2 linked regions of the Arabidopsis thaliana genome follow. The protein of the gene in region 2 binds, or shares a complex with, the protein of the main gene of each other region. Each region holds a gene or a part of one and is shown on either strand. Other genes may lie near its edges.

What was found.
Region 1: PSKR1 (region 2) and HA1 share a complex: the UniProt entries of both Arabidopsis thaliana proteins name them as parts of the functional complex.

Annotation. Positions count from the first base shown.
Region 1 is NC_003071.7:8,219,593-8,227,533, forward strand, and holds the start of HA1 (H[+]-ATPase 1), read left to right. Parts: upstream 1-1,921; 5' UTR 1,922-2,265; coding exon 2,266-2,307; intron 2,308-2,560; exon of another isoform or gene 2,561-3,585; coding exon 3,586-3,705; intron 3,706-3,798; coding exon 3,799-4,035; intron 4,036-4,119; coding exon 4,120-4,881; intron 4,882-4,976; coding exon 4,977-5,099; intron 5,100-5,177; coding exon 5,178-5,282; intron 5,283-5,373; coding exon 5,374-5,518; intron 5,519-5,607; coding exon 5,608-5,772; intron 5,773-5,864; coding exon 5,865-6,103; intron 6,104-6,197; coding exon 6,198-6,230; intron 6,231-6,320; coding exon 6,321-6,402; intron 6,403-6,489; coding exon 6,490-6,650; intron 6,651-6,779; coding exon 6,780-6,953; intron 6,954-7,037; coding exon 7,038-7,220; intron 7,221-7,306; coding exon 7,307-7,488; intron 7,489-7,579; coding exon 7,580-7,676; 3' UTR 7,677-7,941. UniProt on the Arabidopsis thaliana protein: The plasma membrane H(+) ATPase of plants and fungi generates a proton gradient that drives the active transport of nutrients by H(+)-symport. The resulting external acidification and/or internal alkinization may mediate growth responses.
Region 2 is NC_003071.7:583,258-589,288, forward strand, and holds PSKR1 (phytosulfokin receptor 1), read right to left. Parts: upstream 4,145-6,031; 5' UTR 3,868-4,144; coding exon 841-3,867; 3' UTR 540-840; downstream 1-539. UniProt on the Arabidopsis thaliana protein: Phytosulfokine receptor with both a serine/threonine-protein kinase activity and a guanylate cyclase activity.

The sequences.
Region 1 (7,941 bases), 7.6 Mb from region 2:
TATATTTCCTTGTTATAAAAACAAAGAATATGACGAATAAATTTAACTTTTTGAAATCCTAAAAAAAAAAGCATACACATTTAAATAAATACTTTTATGTATTTACCTATGAAAGTTAAATTGATTTTGTCTATCAGATACATAAATGATCAAATAATAAATGAGAAAAACCTGCCCATATGTGCCGATATATATCCAGTTGAATTAAACCATCATCTTCTTGTTTCTTTGTTTTTAAAATTCTCTTATGAAATCGATCTTTTAGATAAAATACAATCGAATTTATGGAAGCAAGAAAAAAAAATTACGTAGGGGAGGTGTATTATTGGGGGACCCAGCACGATCAAAAAGTCAATATTCATCAGCCAATTTGCTGAATAAATAAATAAATAACCTTGAAAACAATTTTTGGTTAAATTACAAAAATAATGATATCCACAAACATGTGAATTGTTCCAGCAATTGCTGACCTTGCCATGAGGCACCTTGGAAGAGCCATTGCTTCATTACAATCCTTTAAAGCCATAAATATGAGATTAGGATTACCAAAATTTCACATATAACAAATTGTTTTATATCATTACTAGCTTAATATGTGTTTTATTATAGTTTTAGATCGACGTCATCTGAATATTTTCCCCCAAACTCCTAAATTTTATAATCTGTGTCTAAACCTAATTTTATATTTCAAAACATCCCTTTTTCTGGAAGAAACTTGTCTTTTAATTTTTTTTTTTTTTTTCACACTTGTCTTTTAATTTCCTTAAGAGACCAAATCAAGTTAATTTAGTGTACTCACCACCTTTAAAACAGGTCAAGTTAATTTATTTGAACATCAGTAATAAATTTATGAACATCTCTTTTCAACATCGGTATTCTTAAATAGTGTTTTAGAATCGTCATTTTAACTTTATGTTTCACTAAACTTAGAAAATATTTAGTTTTTTTTATCTCAATTAGTAATTATCATTTAAATTTTTATTTTCTCGGTTTCTACTTCGCCACTATTATTTAACATATTATTAAACAAATTAGTATTATACGGGTTGATTTTAATTTTCCAATTACAAATTAATTAAAATTCAACTTTTTGATTGGTTGTATAATCCGAAGGAAAAATGTTTACATACGAATTGTTTTAAAAACACTTTGATTTAAAAGTCCGACCTAAACAATCAACATGAAAATTAAACTTATGAGCAAATTAGGTTGATCTAGAAAATAACTTTTGCATTTGTCTCATAGGGAATTATAAAGTTAGTATCTACACACATATATCAAATATACATGTTATATCTATATTACTCTCTCTCTCTCTCTCTCTCTCTCTCTATATATATATATATATATATATATGTATATTCACAAATCCATGTATGTATTTTAAATTTTGTTTGTTTTTTTTTTCCTTCAAAATGAGTAACTTATATAGAAGTCATTAAGATTAGCTTTGCACAACTCTTTGGGAACAAAAAAGAACCCAAATTTTAAGCATTATTCAATGTTCATATAATTATTATGTATATTATTTTTCCTTATTGATTATCAATTTTATATACACAAAAAGATATCAGTGAAGAACTTATGATTGTGCATATTTTCTGTCCATACATAACCACAATATTAATCAAAAATTTAAATTTATCTTAGATATTTTTCTTATGATAATTCAATACTGTATAATTTTTTAAAATCTATACATTACAGTTTTGTCTTTTAAATCATATTCTAATATGCATAAATATCTAGAAAAATACTAACTCCATAGAATTAAATTTCTTATGTAAGTTTAGTATATTATCCTAAATTTGTGTTAATGTTAAGATTTCTACTAAATTTGATACTCAAAAGTAAAAAGTTTCTCTTAATAGAAAAAAATAAATATAGATTCTCTTACATTACAGGATCAGAGTATAAAACCAGTTTAAGTAAACAATGTTTCAAAAAACAGTATGATATCTGAAATTTTAATTATAAAACCAAAAATCCAAAGTCAAATATACGTTTTCCAAGTGAGAAAGGACCCATAAACAATTAACAACCATTGATGATCACCAAATCATAATCAACGGTCGAAATGAATGAAAAATAAAAGTCTGAAACGGTGGAGAGTTTCGTCGTTTTGAGTGGTTATAAAAAGAGAAGGCGTATATCTCCTCTGCAACAGAAGCTCGCTTTCTCTCTCTCTCTCTCGTGTGTGTGTGTGTGATCGAGTGGTGAAACGACAGAGAGGGGCGTCGTTTTGTTGATTTCTTCTGGGTGAAGATGTCAGGTCTCGAAGATATCAAGAACGAGACCGTTGATCTGGTATTATTTCGATTCTCTTCTCGCTTAAATTCTTCGAGTTTTTAATTTCATTTTTAGTGTTTATTCATCATGCCCACAAAGTGTTCGATGATTTGCTTGAATGAGAAATAGATCTGTTTCGTTGTTGTTCCTTGCATGGTTTCACGTTTGATTCTTTTACCCTTTTTTCTTCAAATCATTTTCCGATGATTCTACTCCTTTTTTCTTTGATCGAAAACTGAATCTTAATTCCTCAAGAACCCGAAAAATCCGCAAAAAAAAAAAAAACCGATTTTTCCCCCCAATTGTATCTGCCTCATTTTCGATGATTCTATCATGGATCCTATACAAAACCCAAATCAAGATTCCAACTTTATTAATTTTGGTCTAAAATTAGGGTAAAATAACAGATGTCTTTTAAAGGTTTTAGGTATTAAGCCAAAAATAAGTAGATTTTGATACTGTTCATCAGAAAAAGTAGATCTACCCAAAAACTACACACATGTGAAACGCTGAATAAAAAGATAAGTCTTTTTAGTGGTGGAGCTAAGCTTAAGCTACGTCTCAACAAAAGTCTCTTTCACATATTTATTAAAAGAGAAAAAAATCGCAAAAAGTTTGATTTTGCTTGTGATATATAACTTTCTTTCTCTAAAAAAAATCATCTTTTTTTTGTAAAGATAACGTTTTTGATGTTAAAGCAGTTCATAATATTCTTCTATCTTCCACCCATGAAAAATACCAGAGTTTTTAATAAATTTAAGTTTTCAACTTTTTTTTAAATTGTTGTTGATGTTCGAATTTTTTTGATGTACCTTTCCGTAGTACGTTTTTTTTTTTTTTGAACTTCTTTGTCCTTTTGTAAAACATCTATCAGTAGAAGCAACTTGTGAATTCCTCTATTGTAATTGATTTTGTTTAGTGAAATTGTTTTATGACCGAAATACCCTTAACCGGACTTTGGCTTTCACGCCGGAAAGTAGCCACCTTTCATGGAGGGAATCCCGCAGGCGCGTGTGTTACACGTTCCATAACACGTGCATTGAAGTAGTAGTAGTAGTGGTGGTGGTGGTGGTGGTCCCTCTATCCTCCACTGCCAGATTCTTTTCACCTTTCATTGTCACAACTTGAGTCAACGCCACTCTTCATCTTCCGAGTCGCCGAGTTGGATCGTTTCTGACATTTGTAAAAAGATTTCAAAACTAGAAAAGTTTTTGTCTTTTTTACCCTTTTGTTCTTGTTTGATGTTTGAGTTACTATTGTTTGGGTTCTGATCAAAACTTTTGCTTTGATTCTCAGGAAAAAATTCCGATTGAGGAAGTTTTCCAGCAGCTAAAATGTACAAGGGAAGGATTGACAACGCAGGAAGGGGAAGACAGGATTGTGATATTTGGCCCCAACAAGCTCGAAGAGAAGAAGGTTTGAGTTTGACTTAGCATTGTTGTTTTATCATCATTGAAAGCTTTGGTTTTGTTTAACTCACGAGGTTGATCTTTCGTAAAAAAATATCAGGAAAGCAAAATTCTGAAGTTTCTGGGGTTCATGTGGAATCCGCTTTCATGGGTTATGGAAGCTGCAGCTCTCATGGCCATTGCTTTGGCTAATGGTGATAATCGACCTCCGGATTGGCAAGATTTTGTGGGTATTATCTGTCTGCTTGTTATCAACTCCACAATCAGTTTCATTGAAGAAAACAACGCCGGAAATGCTGCAGCTGCTCTCATGGCTGGTCTTGCTCCTAAAACCAAGGTAATATGTTGGTGGATGCTGTGACATTACTGTACAAGATATTTCGAGACTTCTAGAGAGCTTAACCTGTTTCTCTGTTTTCAGGTTCTTAGGGATGGAAAATGGAGTGAACAAGAGGCTGCTATCCTTGTCCCAGGTGATATTGTTAGCATTAAACTTGGAGACATTATCCCAGCCGATGCCCGTCTTCTTGAAGGAGATCCTTTAAAGGTTGATCAGTCTGCTCTAACTGGAGAGTCCCTTCCTGTGACCAAGCACCCTGGTCAAGAAGTTTTCTCTGGTTCAACTTGTAAACAAGGAGAAATCGAAGCGGTTGTTATAGCCACTGGAGTTCACACCTTCTTTGGTAAAGCTGCTCACCTTGTGGACAGCACTAACCAAGTTGGGCACTTCCAGAAAGTTCTTACATCCATTGGAAACTTCTGTATCTGTTCTATTGCTATTGGTATAGCGATTGAAATAGTCGTCATGTACCCTATCCAACACCGAAAGTACAGAGATGGAATTGACAATCTCTTGGTCCTCTTGATCGGTGGTATCCCCATTGCTATGCCCACGGTCTTGTCTGTGACTATGGCTATCGGGTCTCACAGGTTGTCTCAGCAAGGTGCTATCACCAAACGTATGACAGCCATTGAAGAAATGGCGGGAATGGATGTCCTTTGCAGTGACAAAACCGGGACACTAACCCTTAATAAATTGAGTGTGGATAAAAACTTGGTTGAGGTTTTCTGCAAGGGTGTGGAGAAAGATCAAGTTCTACTATTTGCAGCTATGGCTTCTAGGGTGGAGAACCAGGACGCTATTGATGCAGCCATGGTTGGAATGCTTGCTGATCCGAAAGAGGTATAACTCTAATCATTTTGAATTACTTCTTTAGTTTAGTGAAAGGTCGAGAAAACAAGTTCTTAATTTCTTATGTTTCACTTGGATTTTCATAGGCCCGAGCTGGAATCAGAGAGGTTCACTTCCTTCCATTCAACCCTGTGGATAAGAGAACTGCTTTGACTTACATCGACTCTGATGGTAACTGGCACAGAGTCAGCAAAGGTGCTCCCGAGCAGGTGATGAATCTTCAACTTTCTCCTAAAGATGTTGCGTTTTTCCTTTATTCTGTGTACTAATTCGATTCTCCCACACAGATCCTTGACCTTGCCAATGCCAGGCCTGACCTTAGGAAGAAGGTACTCTCTTGTATTGACAAGTACGCTGAGCGCGGTCTTAGGTCGTTGGCAGTAGCTCGTCAGGTACTTTTTTACAAGCAATTTTTACATTGGTCTTATTTGGGTTTTTTTTTTGGCCTGTAAATCAACTGTTTAATTGCATATTCCTTTTTAGGTGGTACCCGAGAAAACAAAAGAAAGCCCAGGTGGACCATGGGAATTTGTTGGCTTGTTGCCTCTTTTTGACCCTCCAAGACACGACAGTGCCGAAACCATTCGTAGGGCGTTGAATCTAGGTGTTAATGTGAAGATGATCACTGGTAACTATTCTTATTCATCATTTTTTTCCCATGAAATCCATGGTTATTTAGATGTTTTCCCCTAACTTGCGCTCTAACTACGTTGCCAGGTGATCAACTTGCTATTGGTAAGGAAACCGGTCGCAGGCTTGGAATGGGAACCAATATGTATCCATCTGCGGCTCTTCTCGGTACCGACAAGGACTCGAACATTGCATCCATCCCTGTTGAGGAGTTGATCGAGAAGGCTGATGGGTTTGCCGGCGTCTTTCCAGGTTATGCCTTGCTTTCAGTTTCAAACCTCATCACATGTTCATTATAAAGTTTTGTTATATTGATCCAAGGTTCTTATGGTTACTGATTGCAGAGCACAAATATGAAATTGTGAAAAAGCTGCAGGAGAGGAAGCACATTGTTGGTATGACCGGTGATGGTGTTAATGATGCACCCGCTTTGAAGAAAGCAGATATCGGTATTGCTGTGGCCGATGCTACAGATGCTGCTCGTGGTGCTTCAGATATCGTCCTCACGGAACCTGGGCTGAGTGTCATCATCAGTGCCGTTCTCACTAGCAGAGCTATCTTCCAGAGAATGAAGAACTACACCGTGCGTATTCTTAATCTCACTCTAATATATTATGCCCACCACTTGTGTTCGTTTGCGCTGGAAACTAATAATTTTAGTTTCCTGCTTGTGACAGATTTATGCAGTCTCAATCACAATCCGTATTGTGGTAAGTAGAAACCCGTTTTACAAATCTATCACTTGTTTAGCATGATTTTACTTTTTGTATACTGATCATATTGCGTTGTAACTCTTGCAGTTTGGTTTCATGCTTATTGCTTTGATATGGGAATTTGACTTCTCAGCGTTCATGGTTCTGATTATTGCCATCCTTAATGATGGTGAGCAAATAACATCCTACTTTTCTAGACAGCGTCCTCACTCGTTATCAGCTATATCTTATGGTATTATGTGTTACTACCTTTTAGGTACTATCATGACAATCTCAAAGGACAGAGTCAAGCCATCTCCCACACCTGATAGCTGGAAGCTCAAAGAAATTTTCGCCACTGGAATTGTGCTGGGAGGCTACCAAGCCATTATGAGTGTTATTTTCTTCTGGGCTGCTCACAAGACCGACTTTTTCTCGGTACATCATCAGTTTATTTTCATTTCTTTTCTCTTTTTTTTGGTACAGGTGCTTCAGGGACTATATAGATATATATGGCCAGGCCTTTTGCTCTGAGTCTTAAAAAATTGTCTCACCTTCGATTTGCAGGACAAGTTCGGTGTGAGGTCAATCAGGGACAATAACGATGAACTAATGGGTGCTGTGTATCTACAAGTTAGTATCATCAGTCAAGCTCTAATCTTTGTCACCAGGTCAAGGAGTTGGTCATTTGTCGAACGTCCTGGGGCGCTTCTGATGATTGCATTCGTCATTGCACAACTGGTAAGGACATCAAGCACACATATTTTCTGAACTTCGATTAGGTTAAAGAAACCCACTGAATTCATTCACTCCTTCCAAATGCAGGTTGCAACTTTGATCGCAGTGTATGCCGACTGGACATTTGCAAAGGTGAAGGGTATCGGTTGGGGATGGGCAGGTGTGATTTGGATTTACAGTATCGTAACATACTTCCCACAGGACATTTTGAAGTTTGCCATTCGGTATATCTTGAGTGGAAAGGCTTGGGCCAGCTTGTTTGACAACAGGGTACATACAAGTCTATCTACCACTATAGAGACCTCTTTTACAAGCTGATGGTAACATACTAATCACATCTTCTTCTATGTTAACAGACCGCTTTCACAACCAAGAAAGATTACGGTATTGGAGAAAGAGAAGCTCAATGGGCACAAGCTCAAAGGACATTGCACGGTCTGCAGCCAAAAGAAGATGTTAATATCTTCCCAGAGAAAGGAAGTTACAGAGAGCTGTCTGAGATCGCAGAGCAAGCCAAGAGAAGGGCCGAGATAGCTAGGTAAGTAGTGTGATTAAAACGAATCTCAACGGAAAGATGCCATTTGATAGAGGTTCTGATTGGTGAATGATTTAATATTATGTTGTGACAGGCTTAGGGAGCTTCACACATTGAAGGGACATGTGGAATCAGTCGCAAAGCTAAAGGGATTGGACATTGATACAGCAGGACATCACTACACTGTGTAGTTGGAGTTGCACAACAACACAAACATTTACCGAAAACCAACCCCATCATGACTCATCTTTTGTTTTGTCTTCACAAATCTCTCTTTAAAAGTCATTACAGTAGAGGGAAGAGAACTCTTGTGTATTGCCATAACTCTTCCAAAACTCTTTTTTCTTTTTGTTATTGTTAGTCATTGTTCTTAAAACTCCTACTCGATATGAGCTTTGCAAATTTGCCTTTGAAGAAACAAGGCCCTTTGCCTTTGAAGAGACAAGGCACTTTGCT
Region 2 (6,031 bases):
AGTTTATGCATTTTTCGATATTTTTTTTTATATTTATCATCATACATAAGTTTTAAACTTTTAATGCTCTTTTTCTTTTTCCTTGTATTTTATTTGTTATATTTTTGGCTGTTTTCATGTAGTGTGGAAGAAAAGCCAGAAGTGAACATCTTCACTATCGAATCTGTAGTCAATCTTTGAAAATTTTTAAGGAACCATTATAGGAAGCGTACTAATCTATAAATTTGTGGTCTTTGGGGACTGAGAAATCGATATATAGAAAACCTTTCTAATGAAGCAAATATTATATTTTGACCTTACAAAGTCATAATCTTTGAATTCTTTTGGTCAAATGAGTTGAACAATATTTTCACACCCATAAAAAATAAGTTAATGTAATGGATTCTTAACAAAAAATTGACTATAGTTGGCCAAAAGGAATTCTTTTGTTGAAGACCAAAAGGAATTTAGCTACCAAATATATATATTTTTTAATTAAACCAAAAATCTCTAAAAGGTATAACATAATCAACAGAGTATCCACAAAGCAAATCACAGAATAAAGATGTAACACAAATTATTAATCTATGTTGCTCATTTAAATTGCTTGAGACATGTTTTTTCAAGAACTCATTATTTCTGAAACACTACAAAAAGATTTTTCATTTTTCTGAGACAGTATATGTTCTGTCTAGTATCTTTAATGTCTGAATCTGAATCATAAACTGAGATAAAAAAAATGGAAGAAGAAAACGAAGAAACAAATTATTATCTGAAAACTATTTACATTGTATCTCAAAAGTATGAAAATCACTCCCTACAAAATGTATCATAGTGTCTCTGATATTGTTCCTCTTTCTTCTAGACATCATCAAGCCAAGAGACTAACTGTTGAGTCGTTGGCCTCTGTTTCGGGTTTTCGCTTAAACATAAACAAGCAATCTCGAGAACCCGAAACATCTCTTTATCATTCTCTTTACTGTATATTAACGGATCGAAAACCTCGCTTGCTCGACTCTCATGCTTCATCTTGACGACCCACGAGATCAGATCCCTACACCCTTTCGGTTTACACATATCCACCGGTCTTTTATCGGTTAAAAGCTCGAGAAGCACAACTCCGAAACTATACACATCGCCTTTGTAAGTAGCAACCGAAGCTTGCCCGTATTCCGGAGGAATGTAACCTAAAGTTCCAACCAAATCAGTACTTACATGCGTCTCGTAAGGACTCATCAGCCTTGCGAGTCCGAAATCCGCTAAATGAGAGTTGAAATTCTCGTCGAGAAGAATATTACTCGATTTAATATCGCGGTGTAAGATATGAGGATCACACCCTTCATGCAAGTAAAGTAACCCTTTTGCAGCACCTTGAGCGATTCTAAGACGTGTTTTCCACTTCAACAACGCTGGACCGTCGTTACGCTCGTGTAGCCAATAGTCTAAGCTTCCGTTTTCCATATACGAGTAGATTAAAAGCCGGTCGTTTTTGTAGAAACAGAATCCTCGGAGAAGAACAAGATTTGGATGCTGTGCTCTTGAGAGTGTTTCAACTTCTGCTTCGAATTCTCTTTCGATTTGACCGCAATCACCGGATAACTTCTTGATCGCAACTTTCTTACCGTCTGGTAACGTTGCTTTGTAAACCATACCAAACCCGCCACAGCCAATGATGTTAGCTTGATCAAAACTATTTGTTGAGTCCAAAAGGTCATCATAAGAGAGCTCTTTATCATTGCTCTGAAACAAAACCACAAGCTTAGATCCAATCTCTCCGAGTTCTTTACGATTCATGCTCTCGGATTCTTCTATCTCCGGATCAACTTCTCCTGACCGTCTACGAGCACGCAACACAATCAACGAGAGAAGAGTCAAAAGAAAAACCGAACCAAACGCTATCCCAATCGCCATTCCAATGTCACCTCCTCTGCTTCTTCTTGACCGTTTGATCAATGCACTCTCAGTACCTTCAGAACAGGGGAATCTGTGTTCCCCGCAGAGATGGTTACTCTCAAAGCTCGAGTTTGGAAACGTCTGAAACTGACCACCGGAAGGTATTACTCCCGAGAGATTGTTATAAGCAACACTGAACTTCGACAGAAACGAGAGCTGTTGCAGAGAAACCGGGATCGAACCCGAAAGACGGTTATTAGAGAGATCAAGAGCTTCCAAGCTCGTCATACCAGAAAGCGAGCTAGGTATTGATCCAGATAATGCATTCCATTTCAAATCAAACACATGAAGCTTCTTCAGATTACCAAACTCCTCCCAAATAGGTCCAGAGAGATTGTTATGACCAAGCTCAATCGTTGGCGGGAACCCGAAAATCTGATTGTATTGCAACGCTCTCGCGCTCTCGTTTCTTTTCATAAAGAACGGGAAATCAGGAGATGGCTCATTGACTGAGATATTACGGCTAGTGAGACTCTCTAACTTAGTTAAGCTCTTAGGGATCTCTCCTGTAAACGAGTTGTTAGATAAATCCAAGTAGAACAGAGCCTTGAAGTCACCAATCCAGCTCGGGATAGCGCCGGTTAAACGGTTCCAAGAAAGATCCAACAACTGAAGTTCATTACTCGAGCTTAACCACCTCGGCATCGAACCAGTAAGCCTACAATTCGCCACTACAAGCACCTTAAGCTTCTCGAAATGAAGACTTGAATCATCGGGTAAAGCCTCTCCATGGAAATTCAATGTAAGAACCAAAGTCGTCAAGTTCTTGCAATGCTGAAGTATCCCAAGCGCTGAAGAGATATTAGCCAAACTCGAATTCGATAACGAGAAGTAAGATAAGCTCTCGAAGTTCTTGAAACTCTCTGGTACTTGTCCATGGAAGGTGTTCCTCGCGAGGTTAACGTTCTTTAACCGCTTGCAATCCGGTAGATTCTCAGGTAACCTCCCATTGAATCTATTGGTACCTAAATCAAGAGAGTTCAAAGCAATCATCGCCGTACAATTCAACATCAAACGACCCGATAAAGAATTGTTCCTCAAGTTAAGCAGATTCAAACTCGGTGAATTCGCCAACGATTTAGGTATTCCTCCAATGAATCCATTGGTCTGACCTAAGAAAAACTTTAACTGAGGCAATTCGTCGAACACATCAGGGATTTCACCGGAAAACAAATTCCAAGAAACATCAAGACGAACAAGACTTGAGAGATTCCTAATCTCACGACTCAACGAACCAGAGAGACGATTCTCTTGAATCCCTAAAAGATTCAATCTTTTGAGATGAAACAAATCCTCAGGGATGTTACCAGTAAGATCGTTCATACCAAGACAGAGATGCTCAAGCAAGACACATTTCCCAAACCCGGAAGTGAAGTTTCCGGCGAAGTAGTTCACCGCAAGTTTCACAACCCTAATTTGAGTAGAGTTATGGCAGATATGAGACGGAAGCGACCCATTGAATTTATTTGAAGAAAGATCAAAACTTTGCAGAGCTGGGAGATTTATACTTGTTGGGATTCCGCCGGAGAGATCATTAGAGCTCAAATCAAGAGTTTGTAGATTCTTCAAGTTGAAAATCGAAAGAGGGATCGAATCTTTGATGAAGTTTCGAGAGAGATTAAGAACCCTAATCTCATCTAGCTTCCCGAGAGATTCAGACAACTTCCCCGACAGCTTTTTGTTCCCAAGCTCCAATCTAATAACTCTTCCGGTGTTGTTTGAATTGCAGGTGATTCCGGTCCAGTTGCAGCAGTCTGTAGAAGAAGAAGAATTGATCCAACCATCTGGTTTTGGTTCGAGATGTGCTATGAAGTCACGTAAGGCTTCGAGGTCATGTGGATGGCACCTGGAGGTGGTCTGAGATTCCGAGGAATAGAAGAAACATAGTAACTCTGTGAGGAAGATGACGATCACACAAAAACGATGAACACGCATTTCAAGAACAGAGGAAGAAGAAGAAGAATATAAAGGAAGAAACTTTGAGAGAAGAATTAAGATTCAACAAAAACCCTTGAGAAATCTGAGAGTATACGAAACGGGTTTTCTGATTATTGCCATTTTAGATGATGATCAATGAAGATGAAGAAGCAAGAGAGAGAAAAATGGCGACTTTTGACTTCAACACGCAACAGCAAGTAGTGGGTGTTGTTTTAATGCAAGCAAAATTCTAGAGAGAGATAGAAAGTGGAAGAGTTGTGTTTGGTCTTTTTTCTGATACAGAGCAAACAGTAAAAATCTTTAAATAAAGAAGAAGAAGAAATAAGAAGCTTTGAATAAATATTATTTTTCCAAATATTTTGTGAATTAATTTGTGTTTTTGGAAAATTTGTTATAGACAAATCTTTTCCGTGTTTTGTCAATTATAATTGAGTGTGTTTAGTCATATATGAAGTCTTAATCAATAACATTGACTTAGGAAAGTCTTTCTCTAAATATTTTTTTTATTTTTTTGTCTAAATCTTTTACTTTGAATAGTTTGTCGTTCAACGGATAGGCAGAAGAAAATTTGGAACGATTAATGAATAATGAATGATGAAAGTGATCGAATTTAGAAAAATATATGCAAAATTATGTGACTATAAATGTTTCTTTATGGTTTTTTGCCGATTATTCTGCAAATGGTAGATTTATATTTTAGTAGTTTCTATGCAATAAAAAGGTAAAGGAGTAGCTTTTATTAATTATATTGATTTTATTTTGCAAATGGTTAATTTTTATATTAAAATTTGATTATGGGTTAATTGAATAATAATTAAAGATGACCGGAGAAGAAGGGAGTGACCGGTTAGGTCAGCTTTGAGGATTTAAGATGAGGACAAGAGAAAAGATAGAAGTCAAAGCACGGACGTTGACACCTTTGCATCTCTCTCTCTTCTCAACTACAATTTTTTTTTTTTTCTATTTACATTAATTATTGACATTGTTTCTCTTTTTTCGCAAGTTGATAATGAATGAAAATAGACCTACTAGATATTCTTTAGTTTCCGATAAAAGCTTCGGAAAAAAATCTTGAGTTTTTTCCATAAAATCTTGAAATACTTCAAAGAGGAAGGTTATCAACTTAATTGTTGTATTTGTTGGTTAAAAGAATCTAATATAGGAGCTATTTTTTTTTAGCTATTTACATGTCCAAATCAATACGTTATAATTCCAATCAAATTACTAATATTAATTTCATATGACCGGACTTGTATAACTTGAAGTTTATAATATCACTATACAATAACTTGACTTCTAATTTAGAAGTATAACTATAAAAGTGTAACGTATGTGAGTTGTAGACGATAAAAAAATAAAAGAACGGTTATATATAAACTATTTTATATTTTATATAAAAGAAACTAAAAAATAGTCGGTATAGGAACATAAATTTCATTGCTTTTTTCTTCAGTTTTTTTATCACCAATTTTCATTGCTAAAGGATTATTTTTTGTCGTTAATACTTTTTTCTTTTAAAAACGACAAATTTAGGATGCGTTAATATTACTTTTATATGTAACGCTATCCTAAATTTTGTCGATAGAATCCGTTATTAATTAATTGGAAAGAATCGAAAAAAAAAAATTAATCTTGGCAGTTAAAAAATGGATTCTCTTATACCTTTGTAGTAATATACACGTTATAGATTGTTCGAAAAAAAGAAAAGGATAATAGATTGTCATTTTAACAAAATAAAACCAAAAAGTCTCACATTTTCTTGCCATGATTTATTTCTTAAAGAAAAATAGGCTGTTTACACAACTTTCTTTGATGGTTTACTTGATTTATAAGTAAATGAGGACAATATGGGTGAATGGTGAATTGAACATAGACATAAAAGACTATATTGCTTAATAAACTAATTAGCCTACATTCAAAGTTGGTTTACCATATAAGAAATCACTTATATAGTTTTCCTAGTGTGTGCATGATCTTTCATAAAGAGATTAAATATTGTTTTACGTGGAAAAGTTAAGATACGATTCCATGTTAATAATAAAATATTAATGTCGATATCTATAATGAAGGAGACAGTCAAAGCATGTGACATCGACTATTCAACTCTATAATTAATCTTCAATACCATGTGGCTCGTAATGGCTTCGATATAATCGGCTTT